4 linked regions of the Drosophila melanogaster genome follow. The protein of the gene in region 1 interacts with the protein of each later gene in a pairwise test. Each region holds a gene or a part of one and is shown on either strand. Other genes may lie near its edges.

Region 1 (3,865 bases):
CAAACGTCCGTGGATCATCACCTACGGTCATCGACCGATGTACTGCAGCGACGACAAGGAGTACGATTGCAATAGCCAACTGGAGACGTACATTCGCCAGGGTCTGCCCATGCTCAAGTGGTTCGGCCTGGAGGATCTGTTCTACAAGCACGGCGTCGACGTGGAGATCTTTGCGCATGAACACTTCTACACTCGCCTGTGGCCAATCTACGACTACAAGGTGTACAATGGCAGTGCCGAGGCGCCATACACTAATCCCAAGGCGCCCATCCAGATCATCACGGGTTCCGCCGGCTGCAAGGAGGAGCGCGAGCCCTTCTCCAACGATTTGCCCATCTGGAATGCCTACCATAGCAATGTAATTGAATGACCTGCTTAATATCAAAACGGAATACTATAATTCTATAATCTCTTTAGGATTACGGATACACCCGCTTGAAGGCACATAATGGCACGCATCTTCACTTCGAGCAGGTGTCCGATGACCAGAACGGCGCCATTGTCGACTCCTTCTGGGTGATCAAGGACAAGCATGGCGCATATCCATCGCCCCAATGAGATTACATGCATATATAAATATATACTTTCTAGTTAAATGACGATTATGATAATGTATTTTTTTGTAGCATCTTTTAATAAAAATAAAGTTAGAAAAAAATATATCGATGAAAAAAAATAAATTCCACTAGCTTAGATCTTGAACGTTGGACCGTGCGGTGTCTAGTAGACGGTTCCCGAGATTCCGGAACCGTAGTTATAGCCCGATCCGATGGGCGGCACTCCGCCCAAAGCGCCCAAGCCGCCGCCCACCACGCTGTTGCCATAGTTGCTCGTATAGTAACTGGATGGATAGCCACCAGCGCCGAATCGGGTGTTGTAGTACGGATACCCAGTGCCGGCTCCAGCGCCCAGCCTGCTGTTGTAGTATGACAGGGCGTATGGATTCGAGTTGTAGGAGCCACCATAACCACTAAGTCCCGATCCATAGCCACCAAGAGCGGATCCATAGCCACCCAAAGCGGATCCATAGCCGCCCAGAGTGGATCCATAGCCTCCGTATCCGGCCACTGCAGCACCATCTGGGGATTGAGAAACAGCGTTGGTATACTACGAGTCTTCGGCAAGAGATTGAGAGTCTTCTTTCAAGCTCACCCTCACCTAATCCACCCAGAGCTCGCGAGCTGTACGGATTGTAGTAGCTGTCCACGCCAACGCCGACGCCACTGCCGTACGCTCCTCCATAGCCGGCTCCCAGGCCAGAGGCATAGCCGCCGTATCCTGCGCCATATCCGGCGCCATAGCCGCCGTATCCCGCGCCGTAGCCCGCTCCGTAGCCACCGTATCCACCAACATAGCGCTTCTCCTGCTTCTTATCCTGCAGCGGGGCATAGCTGCTGGCGGCGCTCACCTGATCCTCCACGGCCACCGCATCCGGTGCCGATGCGGATGCCACCTGCTCCAGGTCAGAATCCGCCGCGTCCTGGGCATAGGCACTCAGCACCAGACTGGTTGCTATCAGGATAAACTGCGCGAGGATAAAGCGTCACCAAAATGTATCATATTCAAAAGATTACCACTTAAAACATATTTCAATAAAGTGAAAAGTACTTTTTAACAATAGTATTTTGTTTAACAAATTCTCAAAAGCAACATAAAACATATTCAAAAATGTAATAAAAAAAATGTAAAAAATATGTATCAACTTTAAACTAAAATTTAAATACACTTTATAATTTAACAATGAACATCAAGCATTTGGAATACAATGCTTTCAAAACTTATTATTCACTTTAACGAACTGTGTTTTTTAAATCATTTTCTAGTTTTTGGGAAATTATAATCCACGAGAGATCCTTTGGCGAGTCCTTACAAAGCACTTCATGTTGTGGCTGCCGGTTTGTGGTGTTCACTGCTTTCTGGTGGCTAACTGCTCCTTCAAGACTATGATGCGCACGCGCCGTTCGACACTTGTCTAATGATTCCCCACCGGGCCGGCAGTCGCTTTTATACCCGCCGAGCCCACTTCCAATCCCAGCGAACTCGAGCCGCGAAGTTGGACGCAACTGTTGCATCCCAGAGATTCGTGTCGCCTTGCTTGCCACCTATGTATGTATGACGCATGCCACTGGACAACGTGTATGCTGATGGGTCTTGGCTTAATCATCAAACATATTAGATTGAATTTATATCCTGGATTAGATAGTTTCCAGAATCAGATGAGCTCTACTTAACCCATTTATGGAACAACTCTGGATCAACTTAGATTGCTAATATTGTATATTAAATACATATTTATAATCTTAACTCTTTTCTTGAAGAAAACAATACCTTTCGAATGATCTACTTATGAAAAGCTGGTTGGGCGTGTTGATGTGTGATCACACATCATTATGAATATTCCCACGATCTGGGGGATCAATTATACCGCCGCCGCTCAGGAGAAGCAATAACAATGATGACAAATGCTAATTGAATCATTAACTTGACCCTGAAACAGCTAATTGGTCAACATAAAACGCGAAAATGCCCAACGATTGCAGCTTTGAAAACAAAGTTTAAAAAAAAAACGTAACAGCAATCATGCGAGTCCAGTTGAAACGATTTAGTTAGATAGATAAATATTGCGGCTAGTACGTGACTCATTTCATGAACAACAGTATCGAATTGGGTTTTCACTTTCCAGCGCTTATTTAAGCCAACTGAAATTGTTAACAAAACATCGCAGAGAAGAAGAGCCAGGCGGATCTGAATGCTTGAATTTCGCCAACAAAGGTGGCAATTGTTAATTTCTTAGAGGCTTTTTGGCCAAGTGCCTAAGCTAAGTATCCCCATTCCAACCAACATTGCTGACACATTTTCTAAAAAACCTAACGGATTGGAGTCGTAACTTCGATTGGGTTGAATGGACTGAATTAGGTTCTACCAATCTGGGCGATAGTTTTAGCATAAATTCAGGGGTATTCCACATTTAAGTACATTTAATCTATAGAGTTTAGTACAAGAAACTAAAAAGTACTCAGATGTTTCAAATAACTTTAATAATAACTTTAGCAAGTGTTTGAATAATAAAGTAGCATTTAAGAACATAACGATCTATATCCGTTTGCCATTTTCCAAAACTGCAAAACTGTAGCTTGTATCTGTGCAGTTGAAGTTACGTGTGCCAATAGCATTGCGATACTTATCCACGGATATTTACGAAATATGTCAAAATAGTTGTCGATGCCATGCTTGTGGATAGCCACATAGTATATACATACGCTTGTCATACCGCCCATATGAGTGGGTTCACATTGTTCGACCCGGCGGGCATGTGAAAAGTGTTAACTGATTCGACTGACTGTATGGATGGATAGATGGTTGGAGGGATGGATGGATAGATGGAGGGATGGATGGAGGGAGGCAACCGAAGCTACTGCCGACTGCTATGAGTTGACTTGGCCATGGGTGCACTTTGGCGATGGCCTGGGAGTTTCTCGTTTTTTTTTTTCTTTTCTTGTGCTCTTACCCCACTGAGACAATGGTTCTTTAATGCCGAGGCCTAAAAGCCCATTACACGGGCAGCCCGTGAATCTCGCGGTAAGTGGTAGCCTCCATTTCTTGGCCAACCCGCGCACACGGGGCGTATGAGTAATCAAGGAAAAGCAAGCACGGTGCAAAAATCAGATTTAGAACTTTGTCAGTTGAGATAGAGCCAGTTAAAAGCATAAAAAAATGTGGAGCAAAACTAGTATAGTGATTTTTTCAAATATCATTTAAGTTGCATATTTCATCTCAGAATTTTAAGACCATTCTAATCCATTATTGTATTCAAGAGTTTTTCTATCTTTGTATATCACTCAGTTCATGTTGTATCTTTTCCATT
Region 2 (5,379 bases), on another chromosome or scaffold:
TCACGCTGTGCCTCGGTTTCTGTGGAATTGTTTGCAGGCTGAAAATTGTTGATTTTGACACCTTTCGGGCTGCTGCATTGTGTTCCTCTTTATTTCCATCTAATAAATGCATTTGTGCCCTTTGTTGGCTGCATTTTTTACGGTTTTCATTCCTTTTTGCGAACTCTGGCGGGGGGTCATCAACTGCCGAGTCCTCCAGTTGGCCACTTGACTGCCGCTGGTCCTGCGGCCAGAGGATATCTTTATTCGCTCATTAGCAGCACGATTGTGCTGGCTGCAGGTCCTTCGAGTCCTGGAGCTCCTGCGGTGAGGTACTCAGCTCAGTGGGCGTGTGAAATTACCGAAAATACAAGGTAAATTGCGTTTTCTTTCAACTCAATTATGCTTGATTCGTCGAAATGTTGGCCGTCTGATTGCAAGGATTCTTCTAACCACAATTGATTAAATAGATATCAGAGTATTACTTCTAAATATTTATTTAATTTAATATTTTTGATATTTATATTTAATATTTATCATTTCGACCAATACTTTTTTTACTTATAATGAAGCTTTCACAAAATCAAAACTAAAGCTCAGATGCCGAGTTTCAAATCGAATTAGCTACACACACGTTTTGCAGATTAGACCGCAAATGAAACCGACTCAGCTAAAAATCGCTGAACTTTCGACAGCATTTCGCCTTGTAATCAAAATCCATTAGTCAACATAATTACGCTTTAATGGACTCGAAAGTTGTTTATGCCTTGCGTCGATTCGAACCGAAAGCTATGGGTAAATATGCGTGGCTTAATTAGCGGCCATAAAAATTTGATAGATTTTAATCTATCGCACAAGCTGTTGTTGTGCTCTCGCCGATTCCTAGCCCATTAATCTCAGAAATCCGGCGACGAATTTGACGGCTCCGGCTGATAACAGAGTGTGAAAATAGCACTACCGAATATTATTCCATTGTTTTTGAAAAACTCTTGGGGTTTGATAGGAAATGTTATAGTGTTGACCGAGGAAACGAAGTGAGACATTTGGCACGTCCCGACAATTGATGAACCTGCTCTGATTTTGATTTGGAACTGCGATTCGGACACTACATAAATTATGCAAACTTTGTCGTGTGCCAAAAAAAAAATGTAATGCCTGAAAATTAACATTTAAATCGTAGCGAAAAATAAACCCGGTAGCACATTTCATAAAACTGTCCCGATCAAGTTTCGTAGATGATTTATGGAAACAGCAAGTTTGAAGTGCATCCGTGGTGTGGAATTGCTAATGTGGACTGGATTGTCAGCTGTACGAAAACCGGGACGTTTTAAAATAGGGAAAGTTAATATATAATATCATAAATTAAATAAGTATTTTAAATTATAAATTTTACGCCATGTTGTTGAATGGGGTTTACGAACTTTAAAAACACCATTAACAAAATACTTATATTCCTTAATCTTTAGTTTTATGCAGAAATATATAAAGAGCGTCTAACAAATCCTTGCTAAACTATAAATTTGCACAACAAAAATCCCCCTGAGCAAGGGAAATATTTAAAACGCACATCCTCTGTAAGCCTCGAAAACCCTTTTCGAACTTCCTGCAAATTTGGCCAGAGTCCGCAAACAGAGACATTTTGCCCACCTGGCATTAGATTTCCATTTAGCGCTCGTTCCGGCCCAGAAATGCAACCGCAAAAACAAGAACTATGAATGGCAGTTTAAGCCAAATTACACAAAGGCCAAGAGCAACAACAAAGTCGTATAGTGGTGGCTGTTTGAACGGAAGCCATATGCAGAAAATTCGGTAAAGGCAGCGCACCGAACTGGACCCGCCCCTCGAAAAGCAGCCATTTCACTCGCTCCTTCGCAGCTAGGCCATATCTGCAGGGTAGATAAAATCCACAAGGCGCGCGCAAAGAAGACGGCCATACTACACCGAGCACAGTGCCTCCCGCTCTGGCCCGATAAACTGGTTTGGCCTGTACTGGCGAAGAGAGAAGACTCGCCGCAGCTCAGCTCTCTTCGAGTAGCGCACACTTGGTGGTGTTGCCGGGCTTACCGGATTTATTCAGACATCGAACGTCGTCGAGAGCACACGTCTATATTCTCCGTCTTCCGACACAAAAAATAAGAAAAACGAGCGCGTCGATCGCCGTAGAGCACAAGTCTTGACAACCCGAGTGTGTGTGTGATTAATAAAGTAACTAAACGTATATATGAAAGCGTTTCCAATGCGTCGCTTAGTGTGAGAAAATCAACGAAACATAGAGAGTTACAAATAAGGACTTCCCAGAGGATTAGACAAACAGAACAGATTAGATTAAACAGAAAACCGTGCTTAAACCCTCGAAAAAAAAGCCGCCAACATAGCCGAACTAACCGCCGTATTTATGACTAAGATGATTCCGCCGGTTCCCACCGCCGCTGCAGCCGTCATGATGCCCACACCAAAGCAGAAGATCGGTTTCAGCATCGAGTCCATTGTGGGCAATGATGTCAGCACCGCCGGCGGCAATTCGACGCCCGATCTATCCGGTCCCCAGAGTCCGCCGCCCGGCGAGCGCAATGTGCCCGGTTCGCCGCCCCAAACGCCACCAGCCACACTCACCTTGATCCCAGGCTCGCCCCCGCACCATCTGATGGCTCCTCCTGCCCACGGACTGCCCTATCCGCATCCGCATGCTCAGCAGCAGCATTTGCAGGCACCACATCCGCATCCGCATCTATCGCCTGCGCAGCAACATGTGCTCCACCAGCACCTCCTCATGCAGCAGCAACATCCGGGCACACCCAAGAGCCACCAGGACATTCAGGAGCTGCTGCAGAGGCTGCACCACAATGCCGCCATGGCCAGCGGCCTGAGTCCGCTGCAGACACGCCTCTCCCCCGAAACGGAGCAGCCCCAGATGGCCGTCTCCCTCAAGCGGGAACGCTCACCTGCACCACCTGCCATGGAGCAGGCCGAGAATCCCGCCCAGCGCATCCAGCCACCGCACACGCCTCCCAAATCCGTGAGCCCCCAGTCCTCGCAGCCCTCGTCTTCGCCCACTCTGCTGATCAGCAGTCCACATGCCACACCGCCACAGCAGCAACAGCAGCAGCCGCCCCCGAATTATCCAAAGCCCGCCATGATGCATCCCGGAGGAGCTGGACCCATGATGATGCCGGGCATGCCGCCCGCTGGACTCGTTCGCCCCTTTCCCATGGGACCCGGAGGACCACCGATGCCGCAGGGTCAGCCCGGCTTGCCGGACATCAAGGCGCTGCCGCCCTACATCAACGCTCCGCCGGAGCTGCCGCCTCAGCACAATCCGCATCTCATTGCCGCTGCCCAGTTCCAGATGGCCGCCGCCCTGCAAGCGGGTCATGTGCTTGGTCCAGCGGCCGCCGCCGCTGCTGCCGCCGGCCTGCCGCCCCATGCCGCCCAGTTTATGCCCAATCCAGGCATGGCCAGGGATAGCTATCAGCTGTACCCCTGGCTGCTCAGCCGCCATGGAAGGATCTTCCCACACCGATTCCCTGGAAGTAAGTATCTTTTGGAATGATTCTTTATATGCGAAACAAAAAAAGGAGATTTAGGGAAAAAAATAGTTCTTGGAGTCCAAATTGAAGCCAAAAAATGAGAAATTTCTTTAAAGTAATAATTCTAAACCTTCATAAATGTAATAAGAAATGAAAGATGCTAATATGTTTTAAATTAGTTTTGATGAGTCTCTTATAATTGCATTATATTGTCATTGCTAATTTATTGCTGTGAGTTATGATCTTAAATACCGATGACTAACCGAAACCCTTTCTTCTTTGCCTCTTTCAAGGTTTCCTGGTGCCCCCGTTCCGCAAACCGAAACGCATCCGCACCGCCTTCTCGCCGTCGCAGCTGCTGAAGCTGGAGCACGCCTTTGAGAGCAACCAGTACGTAGTGGGGGCAGAGAGAAAGGCCCTGGCCCAAAACCTCAATCTGTCCGAGACGCAGGTGAAGGTGTGGTTCCAGAACCGACGCACCAAGCACAAGCGGATGCAGCAGGAGGATGAGAAGGGCGGCGAGGGAGGATCGCAGCGGAATATGCACAACGGCAGCGGCGACGAGGACGACGACGAACTGATCGACATGGAGATGGACGAGTGTCCCAGCGATGAGGAGCACGAGCTGGACGCCAGCCACTGAGAGAAGCGGCCAGGAGATAGTCCTGCGGCGGTCCGTGAGTTCCTTATCCTGGCGAATGCAGTCCAGTTCCAGTTATCGAGGGTTCCCAGTCGAATCTCGGCGAGAGTAACATAGTTTGTTTTGTTGTGATATATTCTTAGAGCGATCCCAAGGCGTTAGGCTAAGTGTATATAGATAGGAAAGTATTAGAGACCCTTTCTCTCCATCCACACTTCTCTCTCAAGATCCGTGCCAAATCCTTGCGAAGTTTCGAGGTTGAGTAGAGCTCAAAGAATGCAAGTTGTTTCCTTTCTTTCCCAAATATCAAATGCAAAAAAAGAAACACTGAAAAAATAAACCTAGGCTAGACACCACCAACTATAACTGTACAAATTTTATGACTTAAGCCTGTAAATATTCATGACATTACTTTTAATTAGTGAATTCTTCAAAACAAATCGTACTCGATCCACTAGCTATTGTATAATTCTTGTATATTGTATGACGATCTAGCATTTATTTATGTTTAGTCTTAAGCACGAACCTCTAGAGTCCCTCAACTGCAGCTGGATATTATTTAAAGCCGTCTAATATAAAGCCCTAGTTGCTAGTAACTACATCCTAAGCTAATACGATTGTAAGAAACACAAACGAATATGATCATATAAAATATAAAATATTCATTATGAAAAGAAATCGAAAGAGAAATGTTTGATTGATTTATGTGTTGGGGGCAACCACTTATTATCCAGAATACTAGATAATTTATTTATAATTTAAACAATATTGGTATGTTTTGAGTTATGGGTGTGAACTTTAACTTCTCATTCAGCTTTATTACTTTCCTTCAACAATATTTTACTTTAGTTTATTTTTTCTTGTTTAAGCCTTGGCATCTCCGCCCCTTTTTAATTGAGTTCGTCCCACTGTGTGACAGAGTAAAAAATTATGCGCCGTCAATTAATTAGCGTGTGACATTTAACATTGTTGTTGCTGTTTCTGTCCACTGGAAATGGTGACAGGTGCGCTGGAAAAGGGGATTGAGGGGGTGCGGCCGCGACTGAAAAGAGCGGGATAGCTGAAGGAGGCGGCTATAAAATGCATTTAGCGATCGTTATTTCTTATAGATTTCATAAGCATTTTAATTGCACAATTTAAAATGCAAATCGTGTTTTATTGTAGAATTTAATTGAGCGCAGTTCGTGTGAGATCAAAGGGGCGGGGGTGGATGCTGAACGGGGGCTTTTGGGG
Region 3 (5,121 bases), on another chromosome or scaffold:
ATCCGCAGACCCAAATGGAGGGATTCGTGGGCGACATGCAGGCCCTGTACAGCAGCAGCAACATCAACATCAGGTGGGAAGAGGGGCTTTGGAAGAACTTGAATCTTAAGTTCCAAGTTGACCTACCCTTTATCATAGGTACCTTCAGGAGTTCACTGCCTTGGGCACTGCAGGCGGAATGTACCATTTCCGGGATCAGATTAGAGCTGGTAACCCCCGAGCCTTCTTCGTATTGAACGGAGATGTTTGCGCTGATTTTCCGCTGCAAGAACTGTGCGACTTTCACGAGAAGCGCCCGGCGAGTGCTCTGGTTACTATCATGTCCACGGAGGCGACACGTCAGCAATCCTTGCACTACGGCTGTCTGGTTTTCGATCGGAGTAGCGGAGCCGTTTCGCATTATGTAGAAAAGCCTAGCTCCTATGTGTCCACATTTATCAACTGTGGGGTGTATGTCTGTTCCATGGATATATTCACGGTGTTGGCACAGATTTTTCATTCGAGAGGTCAGGAGTACAGCTGCCAGGCATTTTGCAATGGAAACGGAAATGGAAATGGACGAGAGCAGGGGCACATCAAGTGGGAACAGGAGGTGCTTACGCCCCTGGCTGGAACCGATAAACTCTTTGCCATGCCAGTGCCTAACTGGTGGTCCCAACTGAAGACTGCTGGGTCGGCAATCTACGCAAATCGTCATTATCTTGGCCTGTACAAGAAAACGCATCCCGAGAGATTGGCCAATGTGGGGATCAAGCGCGGAGAAGGGGACGGCAGCTTGATCTGCACAGTGCATCCGGACGTCTATGTGCATCCCAGTGCCACTGTCCATCACAGCGCAGTGGTTGGTCTAGATCAAACTTATTTTTTAGAGTGCTTCTAACAAAAAGGTCCTGTTCCAGCTGGGACCCAATGTGGCGATTGGACCTGGAGTGACAATTGGACCAGGTGTGCGCATTCGCGAATCGATTGTTTTGGAGCAGGCACAGATCCTGGACCATACGCTCGTGCTGCACTCTATTGTGGGCAGGGGCTCCACCATTGGAGCTTGGGCTCGAGTCGAGGGCACACCTAGTGATCCCGATCCCAACAAACCCTTTGCCAAAATGGAGAACCCACCGCTTTTCAACAACGAGGGCAAGCTAAACCCCTCGATAACCATACTGGGTAGGTGTTTTGAATTGAGTGATGACATTCTTGAATCCTAATTTTCAATTTCAGGCTGTTTCGTGCAGGTGCCCGCCGAGAAAATCCTGCTGAACAGCATTGTACTGCCGCACAAGGAGCTCAGTCGCAGCTTCAAAAACGAGATCATCTTGTGAGAATGATTTTATTTTTTATCTTCGCTCTGTGTCCCTATCAGTATGTCATTTTATATGTTTATATTGTGCTATATTCTGAAAAACTCCCTATTAAATGTGTCTTATCCTCTGCAGCCAATTTTACTACGTCTTTGACCCGGTAAGGTAAACTACTCGGCACTCGTGCTTTTATGATTGAAAGATGGATATGTGATAGTTGGGAAACAATTTTTTTTCGAATACCTTTACGTATTAAACTTTTTACGGCGGTATTACTTTCTTATAAATGTGGTCGAGGGATGCAGTTTTCTGCATTTGTGTGCTTTTTATAAGGAATTGAATTAGGTATATCCGTTACTCGTACAGTATATTCTCGCTCGCACTCCCACTAGCGTATCTTTCAGATCAAAAACATGTAGTAGTTATTGGTATATTTGTTATAAAAAATCGAGGCAATTAAGAATACCAGCATTCATATTGTTTATTTTTTTTAAAGGAAGCTAACTATTGTTCGAGTAAATTATTTATCTTGCACCTTTAAAAGGGGAGTTTACATTCCGATATCGATAAGTGCAAGTAGTTGGGGGTCGTGACACGGTTGCTCCTCAAAAAAGCGGCCCACGCACACCAATACCTGTGCGCTCCCGATGATTTTCCCACTCTCTCTCTCGCTCCCGCTCTTATTCGTTTTGACCAAAACGCGTTTACGTTGCTCGGTTGTCAGCCAGTTAGTCGCCGTCGCCTGTTGCTTTTGATCTGTGCATATCCACCGCTTCTAAAACAGTGAAATTTACTACTTAGTATACTTACCAAATAATGGCCACTAGCTGGAAATGATGATTCTGGCCAAAAGGTAAGGTAACCAGGTAAGCAGTCTATTCTACGTGGGCATTCACCGTTCTCCGTTGGTAATTGAGCAAGCGAAGAAGAGGAGGAGGAAGAAGAAGAGCAGAGCAAACAGTATGCAGGTGTACGTGTGTATGTGTGGTGGAGGACGAATGTGTTGGTGGAGCAGCACAGGTAACTTCTATGCGAGAGGGAGCACGAGAAAGAGACAGAGAGAGAGAGGAAAAGCGCGGGTCATGCTCACTGAGCGTAACTGTCTTGCGCAGCGTGGGAAACTTATAGACTAGCTCTTTGCTTTAAGCCAAGCTTTATTGGCGGAGTTTGTGTAACTCTCTCCCTTGAGCTCTCTGTGTCTCACTCTCTCCGCCGAGTTGCCAACTACCGCAAGGCCTATTGGCAAACTCATACCTGGCCATGTTGTTGTTTTTGCTGGTATGTGCGTGATGGAATCTTGTTTGGTCTGCTCTCTCGCTCTCTGTCTACCGACACAGAGAGAGGTAAGCGCAGCTCACCTTAATTTACCTTCGTGGTTACCTGCGTTTCGCTGCGGCGATCAGTTGTTTTTCAGACTTGAAGCCAAGCGGATGCGCGACGGGTTAAATAAGTTAATAAACAGATTCGACACACACACACACCGAAACGTTTGCACGCACACTCATACCAATTCAACAACTAGAAAAAGACAACAAGACAAAGTGGTGGAAGCAACAGGTCAAAAAGAAGAAGAAAATACTTGTTTGCTGGCTTTAAATTAAAATAGTAAACTATTCAAAAGGCCACAAAACAAAAATAGCAGGCGTTTTATCAAATGTAACTGTAACACATATGGTCTTTTCGAGTTTGTGTGCGAGAGAAAAGAAAGTGCAATAAAAACCAAAATTTGTGAAAAGCCAACAAGTGCAATGTATACAACGTGTTGAACAGAAAAAAAATCATAAAATAAGAAAACAGTAAAAACAGTTAAGTCGCGTCGCTGAGAGAGGGAGAAAAAAGTGAGTAAGAAAGCGAAGAAACAGAGGAAGACGAGCAAGAGGAAGCTGTAGATATCATTTACCAACAACCTGTGGCATCCAACAAAAATCAAAAGAGCGAGAGGGAGATAAAGAGCGCCATAGAGTGTCGATGAGGGAGAGGGAGGGAAAAATATCCGATTGAGAACCACTTGTTGTTGCCGTTAATCAAATTATCTATTAAATATACCAAAATGAATGAGCGACATTAACAAAAACAAAGTGAAAACAAATTTACAGTTAGCGGAGCCCAAAACGAAGATGCTGAGAGAAAGAGAACACAACTTGTTTATGAATACCCTGCACTAGAGAAGTCTTCAAGTTTGTCATATGATTCCATATGATTATGGAAAATTTAAATAGAACGACAATTATTCCGCTACATTAATGGTCTAGTTTTTTTTTTTGGAAAACTTAGTAATTAAAATCCGACAAGATAAGATACTACCCCAATTTGATACTCATGCTGCTTAGGAAAAAACAGAACGGTGTGAATTTTAAATGCACCTGCTAAAGCGTATTTGAAGATCGCCTAGTGCTGAATCTGTTTTCTTATTTGCAGAATCACAAAACAGCAGCAATTTCAGAGTTGCACTTGTTGCTTGCGTGAGATCCAGTTAAAAGAGGGAACGAGATAAAAATCCAGATAGAGCGAGAGCCCAAAACATTTTCCTTCGTTTCTTCTCTGCGCTTTTCTACCACTTTTTTGTTGTGCGAATAACTTTGGCAATTGGCATTTCTCGCCAGCAATTTTTGCGCAATAATAGATTTCCTGTTGCTCCAACAACAACTAACGGCACACGCCAGCGACAACAACAAAACATATATGCAAGCGGGGAACAATGCTTAAAACAAAAATCGTAAAACAGAAACTTGCGCAATTCATAATTTAATAAGCCAGTCCGAAATACAACAAACAATCGGCCAACAATGAAAATCTGCTCACTTTCTGGTTTACCAATAGGCAGGTAGCAATTCATTAATTGCAATAGTTGTTGCCGCTGTTGTGGTATTAGTTTTTTATTCCGCTCCTGCTGCGCCTGTCACTAATTCAAATTTAATAACGGCTTGATGGTTTTGTCTTTCGCACAGTGCAGTAATCGAAAATCGATCTTCACAACACGCAAACCTCTCAATAATCTACATTTCTCAATATATTCAAATATTTGTGCGATTAACATACGTATTCTCATTAATATTGAGGAAAATGGTTGTTTTGAAAACTACCAAAAATTACCTCTGACTTAACAAAAACGGTACATTTCTATTGGTTTCTGTGATATACGATATAAATCTATTTAAATCTTTATAACGTACAATAATTACAAGTTCAAGATAGGAAGGTCCCACTGTGCTGTGATATTCAGGGTTTAGCGTTTCTTATTTTTAATGATGGCCGCAACGCTTTCCCATTGTCTATTTGGTTATTCTTTATTTTACTTAATTGGGCGACTCGCTTACCGTTATTCATTCATTAACGAATATAGTACCTTTTTCATTTCAACGAAAGGGAAACTTATCAATGCGTGTCTGCCCTTCTGGCATAACCGTATCTTTTCATAGTTTCCATTGCAATCAATTAAAAGCGCATAAAGCCTCTCATAAGACCACAATCCATGATATATGTACGTATGTACCACTCTCGAAAGGTTGACGTAAATCAACAGTCTTTAATGGGCTGTAAGGGCTTAAGGTCTCTGAACAGGAAATAGGGCACTTTAAGGCAATAGTAAACGCAGCTTTTCGGTTTAACTAACCCCGGAGGTCGAGAAAAGTGTCAAAATCAAGAAACTTGCGAACCAGTTTAGGCTTTTTGGTTATGAAAGCCGAGGCAGTTCTTTTGGGGAGTACGAAATCGTGGGAACCTGTATTGATGATGACTTCCTGCTAACGGAAAAAAAAAACAAACCAAAGGGCGGTGCAAGATGCAAAAACGTTAAACGTTTAAAACCCATAAAAAGCAAACG
Region 4 (3,395 bases), 300 kb from region 1:
ATCCACTTTATATATCGCTGCGATGGTTGCGTGCGCTCTCCAAACGAGTTCTAGCCTAGTACACTGAGAGAAAAGTTCGAGCCAAACAATAGAATAAATATATAATGACTTGGTAACATTACGATTATGCTAAATTCATGTAATTTTAGTATAAATCATCGAATCTTTTTTTAAGAATAATTTCCCAATGGGCATACCCATTTTTTTGTAAGTGCATCTCGTTAGCGTGTTGAGAAATTGCCATCTCATCACTGTGACAATCAGCCACGCCCTGTGATACGACAAAAGGGGCGGCAGGCGTTGTATTTGCATAGTTAGAAACGATGAAACTTGTATTGTTTTTTGTACTTTACAATGCGAATCTCAAGAACATATATTTATACGAAGTGCTCAAGATAATCATACGGTGGAAAATTGGGTCTATTAATCTTATAAATGGTTTGCACCTAGTTATTTAAATTTGATTTGTTTAAACTAAATAGAAAAATCGAAATATTTACAATGTAAGCTTGATTTGTGCTTTAATTATTTGTATAAAAAATAAAACTTCAATATTTGACTGCCGAGTGAAAATAACAATAGTAACCTTTGCCATACATCACATTTTGCCTATTTAGTAATTAGCATATAAAATATATGCGATTTGAGTTTACAACGCTCTTCTCACATTCAATTTGCCGCACGTTAACTCATCTCTGTATTTATTAATGCAATTAACCCACCCACCGATTTGTGCCAACTGATTATTTTCATATCTTATGGATTTATGACATTTATTTTATACATTTTCGCCAAGTACGAGTCGTTTGAGCTGCACAAAACGGACGTTTGGTTCGAAAACTAATTGTGTATGTATATGGCCCATATGCGATTCACTTTAGTCGTTCGGTGAAGATGCTCGTGCTGTCATTGTTCGTGGCATCGATCCTACCAGAAGCCACCCTTGGATGCACTGCCTCCGCCGTAGTTCATGCTCATGTCCATGCCGTTGTAGGCGCAGAAGGCTTCGCCATTGTCGATGCACGGTTCATTTCGTCCGGGTATGTCTCCATATATTGAACGGTCCACGGGTGGCGGCACTATATGCTGGGCTCCTGTAATGGGCATGCCACACGACATGGCACCCGGCATGGCACCCGGCATGGCACCCGACATGGCACCCGGCATGACGCCCGGCATGGCACCCGGCATGGCAGCCGGCATGCCACCGGCTCCTCCGGCGTATGGTAGCATGGAGTGTGCCTGAGCTGCGCCCTGGCTAGGCCAACCTCCTAGTCCGCCGGCTGATCCTAATCCTGGTGCTGCTGCTGTTGCTGATAGTGGTGGTGGAGCGGCTGCTCCAGCGGCAGAGTGCTGCATGAAGTCACCCATCTGCGGATAAACGGGAGCATTCAACGGCTGGCCATTCCAGTACGAAAACGAATTCGACATATTGTGAGTTGCGGTTGAGTAAATCCTAAATACAAATAATTTGGGAAAGTGGTGAAAAAGAAACAGTTTTTCTTTCGATTTTTTTTTTTTTGACCAAATAAAAGTTGTACAAAATTTTGCTCCGCTGAACGGTGTTTACTGTTTGGGATCTAAAATATAACTGATAATCTGGAGCTCCGGCTGGGGTACCTCGATTTTTCGGCTTGACATTTAATTTCATGGATATGTTGATTGGAAATTTTTGGAAATTTTTTTTCGACCGATTGCAGTTGGCCATGAAAATACATACGATATTAAATTGATTGTTTTACCTTGGCACATATTTTAGGTTTAGCTCTTCCATAAAATGCCTAAGAGTAAATATATTTTCTAAATATTTTGAATAGCAAATTATAAGTTACCATAGTATATATGTACATCATCGTAAAATATTTGATTTATTAACCTGACATAAGATTGTTCATAAAGGTTTTTGTGCTTCTAATTCAGGTCATTCCGTGTTATTTAGCATACAATTTTATATTGTGATAAATGACATTTCTTTTTATTTTCATTTCATCTTTTTGCTCTTGAGTCTTGATTCCTATTTCTATGATTTTTTTTTTTTGGTTTAGCCTTGTCGGAAAATGGGGGCGGTGGGCGACCGAGGGGCGTGGCATGGCCAGCGTTGTGTTTAATTTTTGAAAAAGGACGCCAACTGTCGTGATGCAGCACAGATGATAATGACGAAGACGCGGCAACAAACGTTTATTTACACACTGGGTATTAAATGGGTATTAAAGACTTGGTACCATAAAATAGAAATAAAACATTGTGCATCTAATTACTTTGCTAACTATAAAACAATTATAAAACTGCATTAAATTCGATTAAAGTAATTGAACATTTTGGCAAATATAAGCAATTATATGCTATTTCGTGTTTAACTTTCAACTTGATCTTATAGCCCATCTAACACGTTTTGATTCACACATGATTGGCATTTAAATACGGTATTTTTAAGGTTCTCACCCTCTTGGCCATTCACATTCCACTTGATTCTTGTGCCAAGCATAAAATGCAAAACACTTGAACTGAGTGAAAACGAAGGCGAAAGCAAAATAAGCAACAACAAAATGTCTCATAAACCAACCAGATGCAGTGAAAGAAAATTCATACTAAAAATATATACATATATAACAAATGTACAGTATAAATTATTACTTTATAGTTCTAGTTGACAATAAGGAATTAAATGTTTCAACATTGCGTATGCTTAATATTCAATGCTGATATTGCGTATACGCAACGTTGGCCGCATTTTATTTTTAACTGTGCCTGCGAATATGAAGAATAAGCAGTAAGCTGAGAGAAAAATAAAAGAACGCAACATGGCAGGGTGTTGATAATGATAGCAAAGACAAAGGCCCACGCCTAATGGGACACGGAATGACGACTGAGGGGCGATGATGAGGCGTTGGCCGGATGGCAGGATAGCTGGATGCTTGGATGGTTGGATGGTTGGATGACTGTAAGGCCGGGTGACCATCCGACTGTCATGCCCACGTCCTTGACGCGCTGCAGTGGCGACAACGTAGTTAAATTGCCTGTCCTCGGCCGGCGTCAACATTGTGTCATTGCTAGTATTAAATCAGAGCCAAACAAATGATGATACATAAGTGCGACACAAGTGCGCAAAAAAAAGAAAAAAATATACAAACACAGCGAAGATTAACCGAAATGCTGGGTGGGAAAATTAAAATTACAGCACATAGCTTTGGTGCACTGAAAGAAAAATCCAGCACATTTTAATATTCAAGGTTCTTACTTTAACTATATAGTAGTTAAATTGCAATAAAATTGAAGTTATTTAAACCGATACTATTATTTATGACTACACACTGTGCACTTCTTGTGCAAAGAAATTTGTCTCAATATAAATTATGCTGGAATTCCTCTGGTTTTTCGTGTCTTAAGCGCTGTAA

The links.
Region 2: the proteins of CG2157 (region 1) and ems interact in a two-hybrid assay, tested with the Drosophila melanogaster proteins (one large-scale study listed by BioGRID).
Region 3: the proteins of CG2157 (region 1) and fus interact in a two-hybrid assay, tested with the Drosophila melanogaster proteins (one large-scale study listed by BioGRID).
Region 4: the proteins of CG2157 (region 1) and CG1394 interact in a two-hybrid assay, tested with the Drosophila melanogaster proteins (one large-scale study listed by BioGRID).

The regions. Positions count from the first base shown.
Region 1 is NC_004354.4:10,867,397-10,871,261, reverse strand, and holds CG2157 (uncharacterized protein), read right to left. Parts: upstream 1,979-3,865; 5' UTR 1,883-1,978; coding exon 1,871-1,882; intron 1,526-1,870; coding exon 1,153-1,525; intron 1,080-1,152; coding exon 721-1,079; 3' UTR 559-720; downstream 1-558.
Region 2 is NT_033777.3:13,899,805-13,905,183, forward strand, and holds ems (empty spiracles), read left to right. Parts: upstream 1-2,048; 5' UTR 2,049-2,374; coding exon 2,375-3,509; intron 3,510-3,799; coding exon 3,800-4,149; 3' UTR 4,150-4,816; downstream 4,817-5,379. UniProt on the Drosophila melanogaster protein: Acts as a homeotic selector gene controlling antennal and mandibular segment identity.
Region 3 is NT_033778.4:15,673,532-15,678,652, reverse strand, and holds the start of fus (fusilli), read left to right. Parts: upstream 1-1,983; 5' UTR 1,984-2,151; exon of another isoform or gene 2,152-2,212; intron 2,213-2,699; exon of another isoform or gene 2,700-3,136; intron 3,137-5,121. Other genes in the region: Gmppa (GDP-mannose pyrophosphorylase A), read left to right, coding at 1-73, 139-841, 900-1,164, 1,219-1,319.
Region 4 is NC_004354.4:11,169,079-11,172,473, forward strand, and holds CG1394 (uncharacterized protein), read right to left. Parts: upstream 1,601-3,395; 5' UTR 1,432-1,600; coding exon 928-1,431; 3' UTR 733-927; downstream 1-732.